Arabidopsis thaliana: one gene and its partner. The protein of the gene in region 1 interacts with the protein of each later gene in a pairwise test. Each region holds a gene or a part of one and is shown in the gene's direction. Other genes may lie near its edges.

The links. The genes of interacting proteins can lie anywhere in the genome.
Region 2: the proteins of DA1 (region 1) and HB4 interact in a two-hybrid assay, tested with the Arabidopsis thaliana proteins (one large-scale study listed by BioGRID).

The regions. Positions count from the first base shown.
Region 1 is NC_003070.9:6,657,266-6,665,617, forward strand, and holds the start of DA1 (DA1), read left to right. Parts: upstream 1-5,151; 5' UTR 5,152-5,759; intron 5,760-6,021; 5' UTR 6,022-6,061; coding exon 6,062-6,247; intron 6,248-6,356; coding exon 6,357-6,450; intron 6,451-6,557; coding exon 6,558-6,786; intron 6,787-6,885; coding exon 6,886-7,006; intron 7,007-7,104; coding exon 7,105-7,188; intron 7,189-7,317; coding exon 7,318-7,437; intron 7,438-7,539; coding exon 7,540-7,752; intron 7,753-7,852; coding exon 7,853-8,031; intron 8,032-8,113; coding exon 8,114-8,172; intron 8,173-8,266; coding exon 8,267-8,352. Other genes in the region: AT1G19260 (TTF-type zinc finger protein with HAT dimerization domain-containing protein), read right to left, coding at 1-2,304. UniProt on the Arabidopsis thaliana protein: Ubiquitin receptor that limits final seed and organ size by restricting the period of cell proliferation. May act maternally to control seed mass. Acts synergistically with DA2 to regulate seed size.
Region 2 is NC_003071.7:18,516,065-18,524,416, reverse strand, and holds HB4 (homeobox-leucine zipper protein 4), read left to right. Parts: upstream 1-4,685; 5' UTR 4,686-4,891; coding exon 4,892-5,093; intron 5,094-5,282; coding exon 5,283-5,641; intron 5,642-5,801; coding exon 5,802-5,881; intron 5,882-6,214; coding exon 6,215-6,530; 3' UTR 6,531-6,761; downstream 6,762-8,352. UniProt on the Arabidopsis thaliana protein: Probable transcription factor.

The DNA.
Region 1 (8,352 bases):
ATGAACTCTGCGTTCACTCATATCTTGGAATCGTTTTATCACCGATTCGTTTGTAACAGTGTTAAGTGCTTGCTTTTCAATAAAACAAACAAGACAATCACTTAAGAACATATCACCGATACGGTTACGCAATGTAGTCTTCACAAAATTCATCGCGGAAAAACATCTTTCGACAGTTGCCGTTGCAACAGGAAGAATCAAAGATACCTTTAGAAGACGATATACCAAAGGATGTGAAAGATGCTTTCTTGTCTCTACCATCACACGAGCAAGATCACCAAGACACTTTAAATCTGTAAACCTTTCATCGTTTTTCACATTATCAAGGTAGATCTCAAGTTGATGATCAAGAGATCTACGCTCCACAAAACTAAAGTCATCTGGATAAAACTCGGTCAATCTCACGAGCATGGACTTATCAAACTGACGAAAAGAATCTATCGGACTCAAAGATGACATGCAAATAAGTAGTTCAGAATTCACCTCATCAAAGCGGTCATTAAACTCTTGAAGTTGCATATCTAAGACAGTGTAGAAACAATCCACCTTATAGTGATGCAAGTTGGTTATACCGGTCTTTTTCCTTGGTCTTCTAGAATCAACAAATTCTTCCTCCATTTTAAGCATTCCAGTGTTATTTTTCTCGCTAAAAGAACTAACTTTAGCCATAAAAGCATCCCATCCATCGTCTCTAACCTTTTGCAACTGACATTTAGTAGTTTTCACCAATGAAATAGCATTTAAGATATCTTGATCTTTTCTTTGCAAAGCCTTTGATAAGCTATCAGTGAGTCCCATAACAAGCAACATCAACTCCAGATAGAAAACAAAATCAAAGGTGTGAAAATACTTGAGAATACCATATGCTTGTTGTCTTTTGGTGGTGTCGGTGCCTTCATCCTGGATATACTCGAGAACTATAACTATAGATGAAAACAACTCCTCAAGACGCAACAAAGTCTTATAATGTGAACCCCAACGAGTATTTCCAGGTCTTTGAAGGGAAAGTTCTTGGTTTAACCCAGTTCCTGTCTTAATTTCACCATTGCTAATCTTTTCTTCCACTTTTTGCCGATGGATTTCCCGGATCTTATCTTTTCTTTTGCAAGAAGCTCCAACAACATTTAGCAAAACAGAAATCATATAAAAAAACTCTCCAACTTCAACATGTTTTTTTGCAACTGCCATGACAACCAATTGTAGTTGATGAGCGAAGCAATGCACATAATATGCAGAGCTACTTTCTTTCAAAATCAATGATCTCAGTCCATTGAACTCTCCTTTCATGTTGCTAGCTCCATCGTATCCCTGCCCTCTCAGCTTTTTCAAACTCAATCCATATTTAGCAAACAAAGAATCAATAGCACTTTTTAGAGATAAAGAAGATGTCTCTTGCACATGAATAACACCAATAAATCTTTCTTTAACTACCCCATACTTATCAACGAAGCGAAAAACTACTGCCATTTGCTCTTTATCTGAAGCATCAGCCGATTCATCTACAAGCAAGCCAAAGACATCATTATCCATTTCTTCAATAATAGATCTAGTTACCTCTTTTGAAAAGCAATGGACAATATCTTTTTGAATTGGTGGAGATGTCATCTGGTTATTTTTAGGAGCATTTTTCAACACAACTTTCTTTACAACTTCATTCTGACCAGCTGTATACTTCAAAAGCTCTACAAAATTACCCTTATTTGTTGACTCTTCTGATTCATCATGACCACGAAATGGTAATCCTTGATGTAACAAGTGTCGAGAAACATCAATGGAAGCATTCAACCAGATTCGATAATCATTCTTCACAACATCGGTTTGCTTATGGAGAGCATGCTTGATGGACTGACCTTGTCTCATCAAATCCTCACATTTTCTTTTTGCATTATTGTGAAAACTATTCACATCCAATCCCACATGTTGGTCCAACCTATCAGCCTTATTCCAACTACAAAAACCAGTTGATAGAAAGCTATCACTCCCTCCTTGATTTCCAGTTTGATCTCTGAATAAGTAACAATACAAGCAAAAAGCTTTTTCTTTCTCCACACTATACTCCAACCAATCACCATACAAATCAAACCATTTTGGATTAAAACGGCGTAACACCTTTCCAATTGCTATTTGTTTAAACTTATGACCACGAGGTTGACAAGGTCCCCTAATCAAATATTCACGTCGTACCTCATCTCTTTGATTAGGATGATAACTTAGAATGCTTTTTCTCTTTGCGGGATCACTTGGCAATTCATTTAAATTAATATCAGGTGGTGGCGGAGATTTTCTTTTCAGAAACCGATACATTATTTTTGTTGTTGCCTTGCCTACATACAAAAAATAAGAATCAATATAAAAATCATGAGTTGAAACTTAAATCAAACATAAAAATTGTTTTCTCCGTGGCCTTATCATGATTCATGACAACTTTAATTTTTGTCATTAGTAAAAATTACTGTGAGATTAAATTAGAAACTAAAACAAACTACATCAAAAATTAAGAAGAAAACAGTATATTGACGACTAACGTTACAAAGAAAACTCATGAATAATGACGAATTGAGTTTTTAATTTTTGACAGAATAACAACACCAAAAACTAAATTAATCACAAACGAATTTTGCTTAAGTGATCAAATTGAAATTGGTTGATAGTTAATTAAACTTTATATAAAATATATATATATATATATATATATATATATAAAAGAGTTTACCTTGAAATCTATAGTCTCGAGCCTTAATCTGATTTTCAAGGATGTGATGATTGTATAAAAAACAAAAGAGGAAGAAGCTAAATTGTTTTTGGCTACCACGACACATGTTCAATTATTTAGGTTTTTTACTTTCTTAATTTGACAGATTTTTATTGGACCTAACATTAGTATAATTTTAATAAAATTATTGGGTTTTTGTATTTATAATTCATAAAATTTTATTGAGCTTTGTTTTACTTGTACCTTAATAAATCATTCATAGGGGTCAATATTTTTGTTTGACTGGGGTCAATAAATATTTTTTAATAAAAATTCTATTATTTTCCAAAAGTTCACTGAGGTCATTTGACCCCTATAATTCTTCATTGGCTCCGTCCCTGTGTGTTGGGTAGGCACTTTGGATCAAAGCTGTATGTGAGTATAAAGTTAATAGCATGCAGAGCATTTAGCATATTCTCAAGGGACATCAAATTCCCCAGAGTGAATAGAAATTTGATCAGTAACTGAATCGTTAAATAATAAAACACAGATAGAGTTATATCACCTGTAAAAAATTGACAGACTACCTAAAATGAATTAAAATTTCCCAAAATGTGAAGAAGAAGAAGAAAGCTAAACATAGTTTACGGGTCACATATCTATAAAAGACTCTACGACCAAAATGATCAAACGATTAAGCAAAAATATTACCAAAAGTACACTTTTATATCGATAGGAGCATAATGGTTCAAATAATAATGGGCCTATAGAAAAAATCGAGGCCCATTAACTTTCTCTTGGAGTATGTAAAAAATAAAATGAGTGTTGTGTGAACTTGTGAGATAAGGTAATTTGCAACTTCATTGAACGTTAAAAATAAGCAGAAGACATGAAAATTAATATAAGCTAACTAGTTGAATGGTTTGGTAGAGCTTTCGTAAAAAAAAGAACGAGGCTCAAATGATTTCAGTATTACAAACCAAAATGAGGTATGAAGTAATATACAAGTTGTATCATACATAAAGAACAACTTGTTCATGACAAACCCAAACTCAGCTATCTCAAGAATGTAATAGTAGTAATAGCTAAATCGTCGGATCCAATAGACGGCTAGTGGTTAAGTAATGTATGCGGGTTTATATAAAGGTCGTGGTTACTGGTTAGAAACATAATGAAGTAAAAATTTGTTACATATATGAGCTTATAAAGCCTATAAACGAGATACGATTTTTTTACATTCAAAATAATAACGGGCCTGTGAAAGCCCATAAAAGCTATCACTTTCCGTGGTCACCGTAACTTCCGCGAGTGTATAAAGAAGAAATTCACATACTTAATTACCAAATTATTCGTTTAATAATATTGTAAAGTGATGATGAACGATATCACATTGTGACATTGACACTCATACATGTAGTTTATAATTTATGAATTCATGTAATGTATATCGTACGTGTATGCTAAATTATAATATGTCAATAAGGTAAACATGATTGAACTTTTACTTTTTGCATAAATCAACAAATTTCCTTTCCATATCTTTTTTCACCTCTATACTTTACTTTCTAATTTAAAGTTATGATATAAAATTAATAAATTGTGTTTGCTTGTAATATTTTAACAAAACCACGCCTCACCAACTTTTTCCTAATCTTTTCTTCAACTTTTTTTCCTTTGTTGTCACCTTTTCGATATGGAATAAGTAATAACATCATTAATTCATTATATGTACTTCTCTTTTTCAATTTTTTTTCTTCTCATTTCTTAGCTTTCTGCTGAATTATTTGGCAATTGGTAAAATTACAAATCACGCTGAAAAGCCAAAAGTTAAATAATATTATTTTCATATCAATAAAATGTGAGTGAGTTATGGGAGCCTAGATTTTGGTTCAAATCAAATTCTAATTATCGTATTGGTTAAAAAATCTATCAACTAAAATTCGATAACTTGACAATTAATTGAAACAACAACGGTTTAAACAGTTAATTAGTATTTATACATTTTTTCTTGTATTTATGCGTTTTTGTTTGATGTTTAGAAAAACACACATATTAAAAAAATATATATATTAAATATTGATTATAAATTTATTATTTTTTGTGTTTTACAATTTTCTATTATTCTAAATCAATGATAATTAACTATTTTTTTAGAAAATTACAATTCACTAATATTATCCAATAAATATTGCATGAAAAATTTAAAAGATTAATCTTTTAGAAATAAATCATTTAGTAATAAAGAAAATATATATTTATAAATAATTTTACAATTTAGTGGAAAATTATAAAAAAAATATATTTAATGTTTTCTAGCAAAAATATATAAAATCTTATTAGAATTAGAACCCGACAATCCGGATAAATGCGTTACGACTTGTAGAAGATTTGGTTTAAGGCTTGAAGCAATAATTAAATATTAAATATCTAGATATTTGCATAAACGTTGCAAAATGGAAGAAATTGCCAAAACAAAATAATTATTTGACTTTTAAATTGCGTAATAGTATAATTATAATTCTCTTTCTATCTCTAAATCACAGCGTGGGGAACGTTTTTTCCTGGAAGAAGAAGAAGAAGAGCTCAACAAGCTCAACGACCAAAAAACTTCGGACACGAAGACTTTTTAATTCATTTCTCCTCTTTTGTTTTTTTCGTTCCAAAATATTCGATACTCTCGATCTCTTCTTCGTGATCCTCATTAAATAAAAATACGATTTTTATTCTTTTTTTGTGAGTGCACCAAATTTTTTGACTTTGGATTAGCGTAGAATTCAAGCACATTCTGGGTTTATTCGTGTATGAGTAGACATTGATTTTGTCAAAGTTGCATTCTTTTATATAAAAAAAGTTTAATTTCCTTTTTTCTTTTCTTTTCTCTTTTTTTTTTTTTTCCCCCATGTTATAGATTCTTCCCCAAATTTTGAAGAAAGGAGAGAACTAAAGAGTCCTTTTTGAGATTCTTTTGCTGCTTCCCTTGCTTGATTAGATCATTTTTGTGATTCTGGATTTTGTGGGGGTTTCGTGAAGCTTATTGGGATCTTATCTGATTCAGGATTTTCTCAAGGTAAAGGGACGATCTTTAGCTTCTTTGCAGCTGCAATTACTTGATAATTCCATGTCTGGATTCTAATTTCATGGTTTTTTGAAAAAAAAAACAAAAAACAAATCCGTTTGGAACTCGTTTGCTTAATGGTGACAGGTTTTAGGGTTGTTTAGTTATTGTTGTTAGATTCAAAGTGCTATTGTTCTGTGGCTTTTGATGTTTGGAAGTGAAACAAGTTTGTTTTGGGTTTTTGCTAATCAGAGATGATTCGACGATTTTGCAGGCTGCATTGCCGTATGAGCAGATAGTTTTATTTAGGCATTATGGGTTGGTTTAACAAGATCTTTAAAGGCTCTAACCAAAGGCTCCGGGTTGGGAATAATAAGCACAATCACAATGTTTATTACGATAATTATCCGACTGCTTCACATGATGATGAGCCTAGTGCGGCGGATACAGATGCTGATAATGATGAACCTCATCATACTCAGGAACCATCTACATCTGAGGTGAGTTTGGGGATCATGAAGTAGTGAAAAGAACCACATATATAGTTGACGGTTTATCATAGCTCTGGTCTGTACTGTTATTTCAACTTTTGTGGTTTTTCTTTACTAGGATAATACATCGAATGACCAGGAAAATGAAGACATAGACCGTGCAATTGCATTGTCGCTTTTAGAAGAGAATCAAGAACAGACAAGTATAAGCGGTGAGTTCATTTTCAGGATTGTTTTAGCCAAAACAGATATATGAAGACATGGTTTTGTTATCGGATTCGGTTTGCTACAATTCCTTTAAAAAAAGTAATGGACACAGGGAAATACTCGATGCCGGTGGATGAAGATGAGCAACTTGCTAGAGCCCTACAAGAAAGTATGGTAGTTGGGAATTCACCCCGTCACAAAAGTGGAAGTACATATGATAATGGGAATGCATATGGAGCTGGAGATTTATATGGGAATGGACATATGTATGGAGGAGGAAATGTATATGCAAATGGAGATATTTATTATCCAAGACCTATTACTTTTCAAATGGATTTCAGGTATTTAGATAGCCAATCATATTTAGCTGGCTTAATTTGGTCGATGTGTTAGTTTAGTGTCCAGCAGCCAAATAACTTGTCAACAACTTGTCTGCATAGGATTTGTGCTGGCTGTAATATGGAGATTGGCCATGGAAGATTTCTGAATTGCCTTAATTCACTATGGCATCCAGAATGTTTTCGATGTTATGGCTGCAGTCAGCCGATTTCTGAGTACGAGGTGAAACCAAGCTCTCTTCCATATCCTCTTCATTTGCTTTCTGGTTCTACTTAACCTTTAGATTTTCTTTTGTAATGTGTTTCCCTTTTTTCCTATAGTTTTCAACATCAGGGAACTACCCTTTTCACAAGGCTTGTTACAGGGAGAGATATCATCCTAAATGTGATGTCTGCAGCCACTTTGTACGTAAACCTCTTTCCTTTTCTATCATTTTAGCCCATAAATATATTCATGTGTTGTTGTTTTGTTCCGGATCTTACACTTATCGTCTGTTGCTTTGTTTTTCTCCCGAATGTAAATTCTTTGAACAGATACCAACAAATCATGCTGGTCTTATTGAATATAGGGCACATCCTTTTTGGGTTCAGAAGTATTGTCCTTCTCACGAACACGATGCTACCCCGAGATGTTGCAGTTGTGAAAGAATGGAGGTGGGTTTTCTTCTCCTCTAATATGTCCCCAAACATACATCATCTACTCAAAAGTGAAAACATTTTTTAGCCGGTAATTGACAACTTAGCTATACTTTGTAGCCACGGAATACGAGATATGTTGAACTTAACGATGGACGGAAACTTTGCCTTGAGTGTTTGGACTCGGCGGTCATGGACACCATGCAATGCCAACCTCTGTACTTGCAAATACAAAATTTCTATGAAGGACTCAACATGAAGGTAGAGCAGGAAGTTCCACTCCTCTTGGTTGAGAGACAAGCACTTAACGAAGCCAGAGAAGGTGAAAAGAATGTAAGTAAAGAAAAGACAATTATCCAGTACTAAGCTAATACTTGAAATTATTATCACATTCTGTTTCTAAAGTATTAAACCTTTTCATTTTGCTTCTTAGGGTCACTATCACATGCCAGAAACAAGAGGACTCTGCCTTTCAGAAGAACAAACTGTTAGTACTGTAAGAAAGCGATCAAAGCATGGCACAGGAAAATGGGCCGGGAATATTACAGAACCTTACAAGTTAACACGGCAATGTGAAGTTACCGCCATTCTCATCTTATTCGGGCTCCCTAGGTAAAAAAGACTCTTTTTGCTTCCATTGAATTGATCTTATGTCACAGTTCAAGCATTGATGGTTTTGCTGAATTTTGTTCAGGTTACTTACTGGTTCGATTCTAGCTCATGAGATGATGCATGCGTGGATGAGGCTCAAAGGTGAATTTCTTACTACTCCTCTTAACGTCTTATATTACTGCTTCTTTCTGTTGATCACATTGTTGAAACCTTGTTTCGTTTTGGTCTTAAAAAGGATTCCGAACACTGAGCCAAGATGTTGAAGAAGGTATATGTCAAGTGATGGCTCATAAATGGTTAGATGCTGAGTTAGCTGCTGGT
Region 2 (8,352 bases), on another chromosome or scaffold:
TTTTTTTTTTTTCGGCTTCACGAATCCAACGAGTCTCTTTGTTTCAGTGGATAAGCCAAAAGCGACTCCTTGTGGATAAAATTTGATTTTGACCGGTGTACTTGAGAAAAGGCCCGTTTTAATTGAGCTTATTTAGGCCCAACACATTTTGTTAAGTTTAACCCAGATACCACCAGTTTGACTTATATGCAAATATTAAGACTTTTTTATTGTTTGTAGATTCTGAAATGGTTTTTAGTTTTTGATTTTGGAAAAAAACAATTTGTTACTCATTCAAGATTATAATAAAAATGATTTCCTAAAAATTAGAGAATCTAGATTTAAAGAGATTTTGTCAATTCTTTCCCAAAATCCAAAAACCATATTTACTAGTTTTTAGAATTACCATTTGAATTTATTTATTTTATATATTTTTCCATTTATTTTATTTCTTCTTTTGTGTAAAATCCAAAGACCAAAACCAAAAATCTATAATCTAAAAACCACTTATAATTGATATTACTTAAAATTTTGATTAAAAAAAAAAAGAACAATATGAAGGCCTTGAGATCTTGAGCGATAGTACATTTCAAATGAAATTTTTAGTTTTGTTCATAAGTCTAATATAGTTAAATAGATATCGTCTTAAGAAAAGACGAATTATCCATCACTCAAGTTCTAATTGTCTCTCTACCAATTTTAGTGCAATGAAATCTAATTTCTCAAACAAAGCGAGATCACGTGCAATTCACATGGATAACAGCTGGACACCCACACACAATCCAAAACGCATTGGATCGAGGCTGTGTGATCATAACATCATGAGAGGAGGCTAAGGGGTATAAATGTAATTACGTAGAAGAAGCTCGTGTCGCATCAAATGATTGGTGTCCGGTGAGAGAGAGGCAAAGAGACACGCGCGGGGGTGGTGCGAAGGTAGGACAATGGGAACCCGTCTATTATTTCACTTGTGGGATTGACACGTGGATACTCAATCACGTGACTTCCCACGTGAAACGCTGGCGTATCTAATTTAATTTTAAGTCCTTTGTCTGTTTTTTTTTTCTCCTCACTCCATTCTTTACACATCTTAGTCACGTGGCTCTCACTCGCTATGTCTCCTCGCTAACTTTTTTTTTGAATCTTGAAACTTTCTGCTTTTTAACTTTATTTATTTATTTTGGATTTCGTAAAGATTGTTCAACGGAAATACGCTCGATGCTGTTGTTTTCAGTCCTTAACTATGATTAATATTAGGGTTCAGATGGTTACAAGTTGCGAATCCGAAAACTGTCAATAACAAAAAACAAAACAGCATTCAATTGTGTTATAGTTTCATATACGATTCATCTTGTGACCGTCACCATTTAAAACTTATACCATAGTAAAGTCTTATTTCAAAAGATTTTAATTTGGTAACTAGCTAGTTGAACTATCCAGAGTCCAGACGTTTTGAGATATATTTTGTCTAGGATTTATATATTTGAAAGAAAAAATTTGTCGAACGATTTGATCTAAAGACATCTTTTTTCTATCGGATCAATTCACTAGATATTTCGTCGACTTTTTAAAAAAGCACCGATAAGGCGGCAAGTTCATTCTGATATAATTCAATTCAGTGTTCGATCGATCACCTTAGTTCTTATAAATGCTACTTAGATTATGTATGCCTTTATGATCTCTGTTTATAAATATAATTTCTGCATGCATGTGAACAGCTGTTATTCTGAAATTCTAATATCTTACACACCTTTCCAGCGTATCCCTATGTTTTAGTGTTCAAAACGTAGCATATGTTATTATTAATACAGATTGCACGGATAGCAAATAATAAATTATAAGAATCAATCAAATCTTGGAACGGACCAAAATAAGTGACGGGCTTCCCACGTGGACATGTGTAATGATTTCGAGTAAATTGTTAGATACGTCGATACAATCATGTGGTACGTGAAAATATCATAATTATTTTGTAATGATTAAATTGGCTCAGCAAGCAATAACATTGATGGATGGACTAAACAGTAGAACTATGGTTGAATGATTTTCTTTTCTTTTTGACGTCATTGATAGTGAGTGATTTATACGAATAAAAATATGCCGATGAGCAACAGATTTCAGTTGTTAGTTGTTACCGTGTCAAAAAAAAATGTTGAGCAAAGATCAAAATTTATATATATTTTTTTTGCTAATAACAGAATATAAATTGATACTTTACATTAATATATGTATAATTATAAATGCACATGGTTATGGACACACACGTGGGACCAAATTGTGTATCTTCTTTTTAAAAATGTAGATGTATCAAAATTATTGAACTCTTGAATTAAGTAAGTATGATAAGGATTTATATTCATGCATGATTACCTCAGAAACTCTCGTTGTTGGTACAACATGGGCTTTGGTTGCTTTGGCCGGTTTTCACCGGATCCTGTTCGTAGCTGTCTCTTACCGAACTGATATCTTTAAATTAATTCCCTCGCCATACAGTTATAACAAAACTCAAACCATATTGTAAATATACTCATATCCACAATTTAACTCATATTTACGTGTATTAATATATTGAGTTTTTTGTTTTGCTAAAGATCTTATCGAGTATCTTCTAACGTTCTCTTCTTTAAATTCTCTCAACGATTTAAAAAAAAAAAAAAAAAAATCACAGCGATTTTTACAGGAAAAATTACGCGAGAGTGAGCGCGTGGAATTGTTAGGAACCATCGAGTCGGAGGAGGAGAGAAGTATCCAATGATTAAAGAGAAGTGAATGTCTGGTCGTGGAGGAACAAAAATTACGCCGCACGAGTGTGGTCACTGGGGACCATGTTCTGCCACGTTGGCAACTTCCCACGTGAACCCCTTCCCATTTCCCACGTGACCACCACTTCTTCTATTTCCTTTGAATCTCTTGCTTTACTTCTTCTACACTCTCTCCCACACCATTCACACGCTTCATTCCAGAATTTCACATTCTTAAATATGCAATGTACTGAAACATCAATACATCATCAGCTCTTAAACATATTTCAACCAATCGTGAAAACAAATGAATTAATTTGTACGAATTTCACGGAGAACGAAGATGTAGTAACGATATATTTTCTTTTTCATATTAGTTACACTTCATGTAGTTTTATCATGAAACATTCATACAAAAATATAGCATAGCCATGTAACAAAGCAGAATCATACATACATACGTTTTCTAGACAAAAAGACAAATAAAAAAAACACTTGTCTGATTTTCCTTAAAACATTCAAGAATGCCAGGAGAATTGGGGAAAAATAGATTACAGTATAAGCTTAGAAACAACTGTATATAATTAATGAACATGGGTTATGAATTGTAACTTGCAACAAACTTTACATTAATATGCATGATACGGCTCATATATCATAAACCCATGCTAACTTAGTTCAAACCCCTTATTCATTTATCAATAAATACATACTTTGTAGCTTTGAGCAAAAAAGCTTACAAGAAAATTTAGGAATATAATAATTTGTTTGTATAACTATTGTTTTCAGAGTACTATACTATCAATCAAGTCAACTAACCAATTAGGCTCCAAAATAAAATCAATTTTCTAAACGTAATTTACCAAGAAAAGTTTATAAGAAAGGTCAAAGCAAGTTATAAGAGTCAATGAAAAGACCGCATTGATTGAAGATACATAAGAAGTCAATATATAGTCATTAAGAATAAATTTGAAAGTAATTAATTTGTTTTGAAAAAGCGTCGGGCGTTATTTAACTTTAAAATTAATTAACAAACGAGACCTGTCTTGTCTTGTCTGTAACTCTCAAAGAAACTGAAGTAGTAATAATGATGGCATTATCAACAACTTTGAAAACAATAGAAAGGAAACATAAACCAAAAATTATTGTTTCAATGACAGGAAGTAGCCGTAAACTCTACCATCCACTAATGTTTTCCAAATGTCCGTTTGCTATTTGATTTAGCCATAAAATTCAATGGAAAAACTTGAATATTGCTTTTATTAGTTGACCAAAAGAATTACTCGAAGGATAGTTTTTGGAAAAGGGAATAATAAATTAATTGAAGACTAATTAGATGCATGTTGGGTTCACGGGGTAACTCTAGAGTCTTAAAACCCCATGCAGTATTAGGCTCTGTGTTATCAAAGACGACATCGTTTTCTGACTACCATACCCATTTTGAGCCCAACGCCATTCTATTCAGTTCCACGCGTTCTTACTCACGTTTGTTCTACACGAGCGACGCTACTTTACCATATACATCTGTCTTTTCTTGTTAAAATACCATCTCATGGTTTTAAGAAATAAAAAGAGTATTCAAACAAAGATCTTTGTTATACTACTATTATTGTTTAGTAGATCTACAAAGCGTGTGCATTACTTCCCAAAATAATTTAATAATGGGTTTTATAAGCTAATCAAGTTCGAAATATGAATTTTCGAGAATAAAAAATGATTGATTAGTTAAGCATCATTTTTAAAACGTTGTACCATAACCAAATACAGTACTTATTACTGTCAAAGACAAAAAAATAACTGAGATTTTAGGTATTAAAATGTTAACGTTTGTTATTGACTTTTAGGACGAAAATGAACAAAAATTCATTTGTCAAACGTATTGAAAAAATTAAACGCATTGGAGTTGAATGACTTTTTTTTTTTTTTTTTTTTAAAGAGAGAGGAGCAGGTAACAGTATATATCATCATTGAAATTACAAGGGTCTTTCTGACACAAGTCATCATTGAAACCCCAAGCACCCCACATAACCCCTTCTCTCTATTAATTGTCTACATATCAACTTCTGTGTATATATATATTAGTCGTGTCTTTAACCCCATTATCACTACATCGATTTTCTCGAGAAAGTCTTTCAAAATCCAGAAAAGAAAAGTTCTTTCTGTTGAGGACAATGGGGGAAAGAGATGATGGGTTGGGTTTGAGTCTAAGCTTGGGAAATAGTCAACAAAAAGAACCATCTCTGAGGTTGAATCTTATGCCGTTGACAACTTCTTCTTCTTCTTCTTCGTTTCAACACATGCACAATCAGAATAACAATAGCCATCCCCAGAAGATTCATAACATCTCTTGGACTCATCTGTTTCAATCTTCTGGTAATACTTTTCTATTTCTCGTTTTAATATAATGTTTTTTTAAGCATTAAATGTGTTGAAATTCTGTTTTATGTGCATAACTTCGGATCTATGTTTCAGATCCGATTCTTTTTTAAATAAAGATATTTCTGTTTTAGTAATTTACGAAACTGAAGCTAAAAACGTTTTTCGGGTTTTGATGTACTCTAGGGATTAAACGTACAACTGCAGAGAGAAACTCCGACGCCGGGTCATTTCTAAGAGGTTTCAACGTGAACAGAGCTCAGTCTTCGGTGGCGGTAGTGGACTTGGAAGAAGAAGCCGCCGTCGTCTCGTCTCCAAACAGCGCCGTTTCGAGTCTGAGTGGAAATAAAAGGGATCTTGCGGTGGCGAGAGGAGGAGATGAAAACGAGGCGGAGAGAGCTTCTTGCTCACGCGGAGGGGGAAGCGGTGGTAGCGACGATGAAGACGGCGGAAACGGCGACGGATCAAGGAAGAAACTACGGTTATCGAAGGATCAAGCTCTTGTTCTCGAGGAGACTTTTAAAGAACATAGCACTCTTAATCCGGTTAGTGGCATTTTGTGTAATTTTTATCTAACTTATAAATTCAGTTAATTACATTTTCGTTATTTGTCACTTCTTATTGCATGGACGTTTGTAATTGGCTTCTCTCTAAAAGACTAAAATTGGTTTTTTTTTTTTTTTTTTTAATTATCGGATTGGGCAGAAGCAAAAGCTGGCTCTAGCAAAACAGTTGAATCTAAGGGCAAGACAAGTTGAAGTGTGGTTTCAGAACCGTAGGGCAAGGTAAAGAAATTATCTTTATTTTCTAGGGGTATTATAGGAAATTTGGTTTCACAGAACCTTAGTAATTGCTATGATGGGGATATAATTGTCCTTTTATGACCCAAAAGCGATTTCAGTTCCCTGTCCTAAAAGAAAATCCTAATAAGATCTCTGCCTCTGTACTGTCACATGGAGTTTCTTACTTTTTACTACAGCCTTAAAGACACATGCATGCGTATGCGTACAAATAAAATCTACTTTTGTCCTTTTTTGTTTCTTATCAGTTTTAAACTTTTATTTCTGTTCACTTCACTAATTAAGGTGATTTTGATTTATTATTTGTACGTACATTAGGACGAAGCTGAAACAAACGGAGGTTGATTGTGAGTATTTAAAGAGATGTTGCGATAATCTGACCGAGGAGAATCGACGGCTGCAGAAAGAAGTGTCGGAGCTGAGGGCGTTGAAGTTGTCTCCACATCTCTACATGCACATGACTCCTCCTACTACTCTCACCATGTGCCCTTCTTGCGAACGTGTCTCCTCCTCTGCCGCCACTGTGACCGCTGCTCCTTCCACTACTACTACTCCTACGGTGGTGGGGCGGCCAAGTCCACAGCGATTAACTCCTTGGACTGCTATTTCTCTCCAGCAAAAATCAGGTCGCTAGGGAAGGAGTATCTTCGGTAGTTTTAGCTTAGAATAAAGATATGAGTATGAAAGTTTCAAAGATTAGCTTCTATCTATTGAAAATGAAAACAAAGATTAGTCTCAATTCAAAGGGTTCAATTTGAGGCTCTAATTCTGAATTTGTTTTAACCTGTAAAAGGATTACCCTTTTTAGAATTCAGTTTTGTGAGTATATTTGATTGTTTATTACCTCTAAAATCATGAGAGAGATCTTCTAGGGGTTGTACGTAATAAAACATTAATGGGCTTAGATAAAGATTAACCAACAAAAAATCATGGTGGGCTTTTTGCCGGCATTACTCTGTTATGCATAGATGTTCTTTCTCCTCCTTTGTTGGGTTATAAAACCGAGAGACTTCGAAACCCACCGATGGTATTGGGATCCATATTTCCAAACTGTCTGTCTGAGGATGTGGATATTTGGGTGATGTTGAAACTCTCAAGTCATTTTATATGAGGAATTTTCAAACATCAGTTTTAATGAAACAAAGAATGTTCCAATTGGAACATAAATATCATAACAAATGAAATTATCAATAAATAGAAGTAATAAAGAATCGTAATACCTAATCAATCAAATTATTGGTTGGGTCCAAATGAGCGTCTCGTCAAGTTACTCGAGCCTCCTCTTTTTTTCTTTTCTTTCTGCCTTCTTTGGTTTACTCGTCAAAGTCTCATCTCACTAAAAATAAGTTTCATCTAAACTTCTCTAAAGTATTTTCTATGGGGGTGAAAACGTTAAACTGAAAGTGTAGTGAAGAAGTTGATAAAAAAGGAAAGGAGTTGTACAAAGGGATGCAGATTCCTATATTCAACATGGTCGACATATATCTCCTTTCTTTCTAATTTCAGTACTTTCAAAAGAGTAACTTTTAAGTTTTTATTAAAGACCAGTCTCTTAATGTTCAATTCAACCAAAATAATATAAACTTATAATTGTATATATATGAAAATCAAACTGTTTTCATGAGTTTGTGCCTAATTGAATAGATTTCAACTAAACCTCAATACCAGATTTAAATGCACAATATTATAACAATTGTTCAGTGTAACATTTTTTTTTCCTAAAGCATGAAAAAGAAGAAACAAACAACAATGGCTGAATTTTGGATCATAACGTTTTTATGGTTGAGATAAATGAAATTCTCCTGACAACATTTTACTATTTAATGGAGTAACAACAAAGAGAAACAATATGGAAATACCAATCTGTATTAAAGTTAACACTAACAAAAGAAAAAATCAATAGTCTTAAAATGTAATTGCGGTAAAATATATTGAAACATTGTAATAATGTATAATGGTATTCAAATCAATAAAAATGCAGAAAATCAAATTGTAATTAAAAGGTAAAAAAGATAAAAAAAAAAGGGAGGTGAATTAATTCTGCTGCCTCTCTCTCTATCATATTCGTATATATGAGCTGTGTTTTCATCACACGAAGCCCTCTTCTCTCTTGTCTCTTCTCCTCTAAGCCCCGACCTGGAATTTTCCAATTCCTTCATCATCATCTTCTCTCTCTATCTCTTTGTGCCGCACGAATAAAGGAAGAGAGAGTTTAACGGAATTACTTTGAGACTTTGAGAGAGGTCTTTTGGTTTCTTATACAGTTTTCGGGTTTGGCTTCAATTCTCTCCGACCATCACTCTCTCTTCTTTATCCTCTCTTCACTTTCAAATTCCCATTGACCTTCTTCTCATCATTGTGAGTTTAATGTCAATACAAATCTATTGACGAAGAAAGGTCAGAGATTTTGCTTCTCTATTCGAGGGTTTTTGCGTTCGTTGAGCTCTTTGAATTCG